Rattus norvegicus: one gene and its partner. The protein of the gene in region 2 interacts with the protein of the main gene of each other region in a pairwise test. Links are inferred from orthologs where the notes say so. Each region holds a gene or a part of one and is shown on either strand. Other genes may lie near its edges.

Region 1 (3,810 bases), on a different chromosome or scaffold from region 2:
TGCTGGGGAGGGCCGTGCGTGTGCGTGTGCGTGTGCGTGTGCGTGTGCGTGTGCGTGTGAAGGTATGCAGATACCTCCTTCGCAGTAATGTGGTGAGGACTCCTCATAAGGCCTATCGTAGCCTTGTTCAGGATACGACGGTTGCTGATAACCGTAATCATTATGACCTACATCAATTCGACAAGAGACAGGAAGAAACGTTAATGGCCACTGAGTGAAAACCCTACAATTAAACTTTAAGATAAAACTGAAGAAAAAAAAAAGAAATGGAAATACATAAAAAAATAATTTTAATTGCATTAGCAAGTATTTACCAACGTGAATGCTTTCACCATGAGATTACAGCACACTATTTCAAGGCAAAGAGCAGTAGTCTTAGAAATTTACACTCATCCTCCTAACTGCGATAATCCTCACTGAGGGCAAAAAACCCTTGCATTCTATTTTAAAAAGAGAATGAGAACATTTAGGCCTCTCACGTGTAAGTAAATCGAGTCAAATCAGAATGAACACGGGATGCAAGTTATGACATCTTATCAAACCCCTGTTCTGAGGGTGGACATTTCCACAGCATACACTAAAAACAATATAAAATATATGAGGTCCAAAAAAAAAATCATTTTTTTTAAAGATAAGGTCTCTTACCCTGGGTTTCTGGAGCTCCCTCTGTAGACCAGGCTGGCCTCAGATTCACAGGGACCCAACTGACTGTCACCCAAGTAAGAATGTATCTTATAGTGCTGTCATTTTAAACATCTTTAGAAATATTTCTAGAGTATTCTGCATATCAACATTCATAAAATGTGTATTTCCTGAGTTGGAGAACACCTTAAGTTTTATGACTCAGTAACTTCCACCAGTAGACTAGACTAATCTTTTATTCTTTAATGTTTCACCTAAAAACAAAATGCAGACTAATGTCTTCAGTTGCTAAAACTTGGTACTAATGTTCCGAAAAGGCCTAGGAGGAAGGACTATAGTTCCACATAAATATTACATTCACCGCATTAGTCTGAAAGCCCCCAAGCCACTTTAAGAGTTGGCAATACATGACCGCCAGCTTACTAAGGCCAGTGGTCAGCTGAGATAGAAGTACCACCGGAATCCACTCACGTAGCTGCTGCCCACAGCAGCTCTCCTGTTCTCATGACAGGTCTGCAATGTGAGAGCAAGACCACATGGCCTACAAGGACCAAATCTTTGCTGCCTGGCCCTCTGCAGAAAATCTCAGCCAAGCACTCGTTCATGTACTTATGGGCAAGGTCATCTGGACCTGAGAGAAGATGCTCAATTGCCTGGGGAGTGCAATTGAGGGGAACACTCTGTCAAGACCTACTGTACTCACACCCGTGAAAACATTACTACTTAAATGAAGAACAAGCTAGTACACGTAATTATAGCTTTACGTTTTAACAGTTAGAAAAATAATGTGCCTATTTTTAACAAGAAGGTTTTAAAATAAGGCAAATTTCACATTTCTGAAAATGTTCAGGACCCGAAACCATCAAGTCCAACACAACTGCTTAAGTGCACTTTAAAGCTGACTTTAAAGGGTAATTTATTCTTAGATTACTTATGTTTACCACATAGATGTCACCTTTTAAATTTTTCTGTAAATGTACTATTATTAAAGTTTAAATTTAAGAAAAAAGCTTAATATATCCACAAAGAATTAAGGAGAGGAAAAGCACTGACATTCTGAATACCAATGGCAAGAAAACCTGAGATAAAAGCACACAGTTCTAACCAGAGTTGCACACATCATTAACAAACTTCTTGTGTGTAAAGCTGGTGACAGTCGGTGTTTAATGCAGATCCCCCTTTATGCTTCATGCACTGATGAGAAGCAGCAGATGAAATGCCACTTGAACACAGACCCCATCTTGTTGGTTTCCATCAGGTTCTAGCCAAGAGGTCCTAAAACTTCAGCCTGAAGTTTCTTTGCCATATAATTACATTAAAAATAACAAAAGAGGGGTTGGGGATTTAGCTCAGTGGTAGAGTGCTTGCCTAGCAACCGCAAGGCCCTGGGTTCGGTCCCTAGCTCCGAAAAAAAAGAAAAAAGAAAAAAAATAATAACAAAAGAGTTTACTTGATAAAATACTTTAGCAAAGCACTTCACTAAAAGACAAATTACCCCATGATATTTCTTTGTACCCACTAAAAAGAAATTATTTTACCAGTTCTACATGTTTAGATAATTTTTCTTCAACATTAAAATACAAAATTTTCAAACAAAAAAATGCCTAGTAAAAATCTACTTGTGCACTTAGATTATTTTCCATGTACTTTCTTAGTGTGTAGCATTCTTTAGTGGTAACTTCTTACAATTCATGTTCCCTTTTAAAGGAGGTGGGGGAGAAGCCACTAAATTAAAAATCCAAATGCCTTGGCTATTCAGCACGATTCAGTGCACCTTATCTATTGCTATATTGTGGACAAGCATTTCCTCAATAGCAAGCATATAAGGCACAATTACTTCCCAAGAATGGAACATAAATAAATGAAACAAGAACTACATTCTCTATAGTCTTACAGAGCTATATTCTTAATATAAGCAAAACAATGGGTGAACTTTATAGCAGATGAATTAAATCTCTCTAAAAATACCAAGGAAGAAGAAGAGGAGGAAGAGGAAGAAGAGGAGGAGGAGGAGGAGGAAGAGGAGGATGAAAAAGAGGAAGAGGAGGAAGAGGAGGAGGAAAAAGAGGAAGAGGAGGAAAAAGGGGAAGAGGAGGAAGAGGAGGAGGAAAAAGAGGAAGAGGAGGAAAAAGGGGAAGAGGAGGAAGAGGAGGAGGAGGACGAAAAAGAGGAAGAGGAGGAAGAGGAGGAGGAAAAAGAGGAAGAAGAGGAAAAAGAGGAGGAGGAGGAAGAGGAGGAGGAGGAGGAGGAAAAAGAGGAAGAAGAAACCTGTAGAGCATTTGCTTTAGGCTCAGATGAACAATCCTAAACATAAAAAGACCCTCTTTCCCACGAGAGACACTGGAGTGATGGAAATGTAGCTCCAGATAGCACCAACAGTGACCACACAAATATACCTTGAGTTAATTACAAACCAGTGTCCTTCTTGTCAGAGCTATACAATACCAAATGCTTCTACATGAAGAAACAAGTTGGTAGTTTCTTCGCCCCTCATTAAAAAGTTGTGAAATGCTTTCTACATTAATACTGGGCAGGGATAGAAAACGGGAAGGGTAACATTAGAGAGATTACCATCAGGGTAATATTGCTGGTTCATGCCTTCTGGAGGACCTTGTCCACCATGACTGTATTGGTCCCCATAATAGTCTTCCTGGCCTGAGTACTGCTGTGGTGGGCCTGAAAAACCACAACCAGTCAAGACATAAATCATTTGTTCTCTGCGTCATCCAAGGCGATCTTTCTAATCTGCTGTTGCGAGAGACTACTTCTGAGCAGGAGACTCCCACAGTGCTTGGGCACTATTCCCATGCACACACACACACACACACACACACACGCACACGCAGGTCCACACGTCACGGTTATCAAATCAGTAAGACCATACACATAATACCAAACAATACCAACTCAGAAAAGCAACCTCTGAAGCAGAGGCTGAAGCAGGTGGAAACTGATTTCTTTTTACTTGTTACATTAGTATTAAGGCATTTTGATATAAAATTGGCTTTGTTCTTTGTCATATACTTAGTAACTTCTAAAAAAGGGAGAGAGGGCATTTTCTGATGTAAATGAGTAAATTTGATAGAAAAGTTTCTGATGTGGTATTTCCCTAGAGAACACCAGACAAAAGGAAGCCATGTGCTGGGAAGCTCCTCTATGCCTCAGGAC
Region 2 (4,441 bases):
GGCTCAGTGGTTAGGAGCACTGACTGCTCTTCCAGAGGTCCTGAGTTCAAATCCCAACAACCACATGGTGGCTTACAACCATCTGTAATGAGACCTGATGCCCTCTTCTGGTGTCTGAAGACAGCTACAGTGTACACAGTATATATAAATATAAGAAATAAAAAAATCTTTAAAAAAAAATCAGTCCCTGATATCTCAAAATACTGAGATTCCCTACCCCCCATCCCTCCCTCACAGAGATTGAACCTCGTGGCCTCACGCACGCTAGGAAAAAGCTGGACCACAGAGCAAAACTCCCAATAGTCTTTCTGTTTTCCACTTCTTCTTTTTAAAGGACGAGGTCTTATTCATGTGCCTAGGGCAACCTTGAACTCATTCTGTAGCCCAGGCAATCCTTCTACCTCTGCTTCCTGAAGAGCTGGGATGACAAGCCTGCACCACCAGTCTGGGCACCACGGGGAAATTTTTAGGGGCCCTTAAGCATCTGTCCCCACTCTATAGTTTACCTCCATTGCCAGGGGAAATGGGCCTGACCGGCCTGGGTCTGACACTGGGTAGAGATCAGGAGTCAGGAAGCCTTCAGAAGCAGAGTATGGGAAAGAGCCTTCTGCATACGGAGCATGGATGCTGGAGTCCCAGTCTGTGAAGCCTGAAGGGGGAGCCAGGTTGCCAGGTCCAGAATCCACAGTCTCTTGGAAGGCAGGGAAGTGAGTATGGCCTGAAACCGAGAGGGTGGGCAGGACCAGCTTGTTATTAGAGCCCAGAGACACAGCCAGGGATAGTGAACCTGGAGTCTCTTGAGGCACTGAGGCACTGAGGCACTGAGAGCTGAGTCCTCCAATCCTGGGACATCAACAAGCTGGGGTGCTTGGCCGCCTGGGTCTCAAGCAACTGGGATCTGGATTCCTGGAATCTCAAACCCTGAGTCCCTGAGGGCAACAGTCACAGACTACTGGGCTATTGAAAACCAATGTCAAAATCCAGGGGTTTCTGTTTGAAGACAGGTGTCTTAGATAGCTCTAGGTGGCCTGGAACTCGCTAGTTTAAAAAAAAAAAAAAGTGTGGCTTCAAACCCAATGGCAATCCTCTCCTCTCAACCTCCGGAGTACTGGAAATACAGACATGTGCAACAATGGCAGGCCAGCCATTAAAATTTCCCATATGTCTCAACAATAATGAGAGCTGCCTGTCTCCTCGGTCCCCAAAGTTCTGAGAGGTGGGTCGAGCTAAGTTTCTATTCTTACCTGCCTCTGACTCGCTCACAGATGGGGTCAGTGGCTGGACCAGAGGAGGGGAGAAGTGTCCCTGCAATGCAAAGAAAATGAATTTATATATCTGCAAGATTCTTCAGGTCCATCCCCCGCCACATGTAAAGCATCAGAGTCAGGACTACAACTCCCATCTCCCCCAGAGCACATGGCTTCATGTCCTATGCGGGATTTCCAGAGACTCACCGGTACCCCAGCAGCCTCTGGCTGCTGCTGTCGGCGCCTCTGTTCTTCCAGAAGCTTCTTTACGGTCTGTGTTGGGCAGTGACTGCGCTCAGGCCGACTCACTGTGTGTGGGAAGACAGAAGGAAGTCATCAGGAATATTTAAGTCACCCGAATGCACCCTCAGCGGCAGCGGTGGGTGGCTGGGAGTGGATGTGGGCGCGCGCCCTCCTTTCCCTCGAGCGCGGAAAAACTGGAGAACTACAAAGCCAATAGAAGATGTTGAGTGCAGGGCCCGCCTCCGCCATTTCCTTCCTTTTACTCCACGCTTTTCCTCTGCACCAACTTTCCACCACCGTAGTGGAAACTGAGGAAGTGGGGAGGCTAGCATTTCTCTGAAGCATCTATCTCCTCCGGAGACATCCCACTCCTCTGAAGCATCACCACATCCGTAAAAAATCCCAACCTAGGCTACCAGGCCTAACACTTGAAGAGGGGTGGGGTTTGCCAATCTCAACTTCCTGAAAAGGCATTTCCAGGTTCCCAATGTCTCTGTTTTAAACTAGAAGTAGAGGCACACCCCTGCAATCCAGCATTCTCGTGGCAGGCCAAGCTCATCTACATATCAGTGAGAGGCCAGCCTGGGCTACCTGAGACCTCGGTCTCAAAACAACAGCAAAATAATTTCTCTGTTCTAGAATCTGACATGTTGGGACTAGGCGCAAGCCTAGTGTCCTCAGCACAGTCTTGGACCATCACTCTTGCTTCATGCTCTCTGCCAGAATCAGTGGCAGAGTAGTTCCTCAGAAATCCAGATATCTGGTGTCGCAAACCTCCTGTCCCCACCTCGGCCGACTTGGGAATAGCAGGGACCCACCATCCCGCGATGCCCCTGTATCCCATAGGCGCGGCAGTCTCTCATCCAGAAACCCAGGAGTACAGACCCCCTCAGCCTCCTCTGGGACCTGCAAGTCCGGTTCCCTCCACCGGAGAAGAGCAAATCCCTAGCTCAGACTTCCCAGCTTTGACTCCAGCGCAAGAAGGGTTAAAGCCAGACGGGGACCGACTCGGAAACCCTCGAGAAAAGACGCCGCGCGCTGACGTCACGGCGCTCACGCAAGGGAATCTTCCACCTCCCAGTTCCGCTCCGCACGCGCACGCCGCAGGTGTCTGGCTCGGAGGCGGGGCACGCAGCGAAGCGCGGCGCCCGTGGAATCTCCGCTCACGGGGAATTCCTTTTCGGCCCAGGCACCCGGCACCGGTAGAGCGCTGGGAAATCCCAGGGCGGGGCTGGTCTCGACCAGAGTGGACCCCTGAGGTCCGCCGCCCGACCTTCAAGACCCAAGCCTGCGTCCATAACGGCAACTCGAAGGATGCAATGCAACCCCTCCTTGGGTGAAGGAGTCCGAGTCACTTCGTCCTCTTTCAGAATCCCCGGTATCAGGCTTCCTAGTCCTTGCACCCCAACCCCTAAGATCCCAGATACCTCTCTTAATGTCCAACACTCCCAGGACTCAGAAGTCCAGGATCCCAGCCTCTCCTCTTCAGCCAGCTCCCTTAAACGTCGGGAATCCCCAACTCTCAGGGCCCAGCTTTACGCTCCAGTCAACCCTCAAAGCATTCAGAAAGGCGCGTGCCTCGCTTTACCCCAAGGTTAATCCCTTACCTCGAGGATTCTTGGATGCAGATTGTGGGCCCCCAGGGCCGCGGCCTCGGCGCTGCGCCAGCCTCGCTGCTTGCCCCGCGGAGCCGCCGCCGGGTCCCCCGATCCAAAGCCAGGTCCCCCGCGAGTTTTTAAATTCTTCTTTTGGCCACGCCTGGTTCAAGGCGGAGCCCCGCCCACAGTTCTAGGAGTCCCGGGTGAAGCGGGAGAGCTTAGTCTCTGAATGGGAGGGGCTGACCTTGAAGAGTGTCATCGCCTAGTCTCCCTGGAAGTAGGTGCTTAAGGATCCTCCCTTTTTCTAGAGGGAGACATGGGGATCTGGAATTTTGAGTCTCTGACCAAGGAGATACTGGAGGCCTTGACTTGGCTGTGCACAAGCAGAGAAGTACTGTGGGGTCTTCCGGGAGAGGATGACCATGAACCTAGACCCCATGGCTTCTTGGAGAAGTCCTTAGGCAAGGGTCGTAGAGGTGCCTTAAACCTCTCTTTTCCACGTGGCTGTTTGCTTCTTTAGAGTTAACTTTCATTTATAAAGCTTTTTTCTCCCGCTTTGGTTTCAGTTTTGATTTGAGTGTGTGTGTGTGTGTGTGTGTGTGTGTGTGTGTGTGTGTGTGTGTGTGTGAAGGGCGAAGAGGGGGTTCGTGTAGCTCAGGTCAGCCTAGAACTCTAGGTAACTAAGGATAACCTTGAACTCCTGATTCTCTTGATTCCATTTCCCAAATGTTGGGTTACAGAGAATTGGCCACCATATCAACTACCAATATTGGCTTTTATTGTTTTGTTTTTCAGGTTTCCCCCGCCCCCCTTCAAAACAGGGTCTCACTATGTAGCCCTAGCTGTCCTGGAACTCACTATGTCGACCAGGCTGGGCTTGGAATCCACAGAAATCTACAGAAATGTCTCCCCAGTGATGGGATTAAAGGCATATGCCACATTGTCTGGTTCCAATATTTGCATTAAAAACATGTGTGTGCGAACTCCCCCCGGAGGTGGAAGAACATGTGCTCCAAAGCCCTCTGTAGATTTCAGCCTTTTTGTGAGGGTTATGGGGTTCTAACACACGTCAAGAACCTTTATCTGCCGAACAATCTTCCTTCCAACACTTTGTTTTTGAGACAGGGGCTTCCTACATGTAAGCAGCTGGGCTGGCCACGAACCTGCTAAATCAGCCAGGCTGGCCTTGAACTCACAGCCATTTTTCTCACTTGTCTCCCAAGTGCTGGACAATCATGTCTGACTTACTTATTCACCATTTAAGAAACCCTGTTAGCATAAAGGAGACACTTTCCTGAACACAGGGGATGGAGAAGTATGAGCCAAACAGGAATTCCCAGTTCGCTAGGGGAT

Evidence for each region.
Region 1: the proteins of Nfkbid (region 2) and Ss18 interact in a two-hybrid assay, tested with the Homo sapiens proteins (2 studies listed by BioGRID and IntAct). The two-hybrid records come from large-scale screens. The link is inferred for Rattus norvegicus from reciprocal best matches to the Homo sapiens genes NFKBID and SS18.

Annotation. Positions count from the first base shown.
Region 1 is NC_086036.1:6,057,815-6,061,624, forward strand, and holds part of Ss18 (protein SSXT), read right to left. Parts: intron 3,319-3,810; coding exon 3,214-3,318; intron 168-3,213; coding exon 75-167; intron 1-74. UniProt on the Homo sapiens protein: Appears to function synergistically with RBM14 as a transcriptional coactivator. Isoform 1 and isoform 2 function in nuclear receptor coactivation. Isoform 1 and isoform 2 function in general transcriptional coactivation.
Region 2 is NC_086019.1:94,807,213-94,811,653, reverse strand, and holds the start of Nfkbid (NF-kappa-B inhibitor delta), read right to left. Parts: upstream 3,089-4,441; 5' UTR 1,455-3,088; intron 1,306-1,454; 5' UTR 513-1,305; coding exon 507-512; intron 1-506. UniProt on the Homo sapiens protein: Regulates the expression of IL-2, IL-6, and other cytokines through regulation on NF-kappa-B activity. Functions in the regulation of inflammatory responses.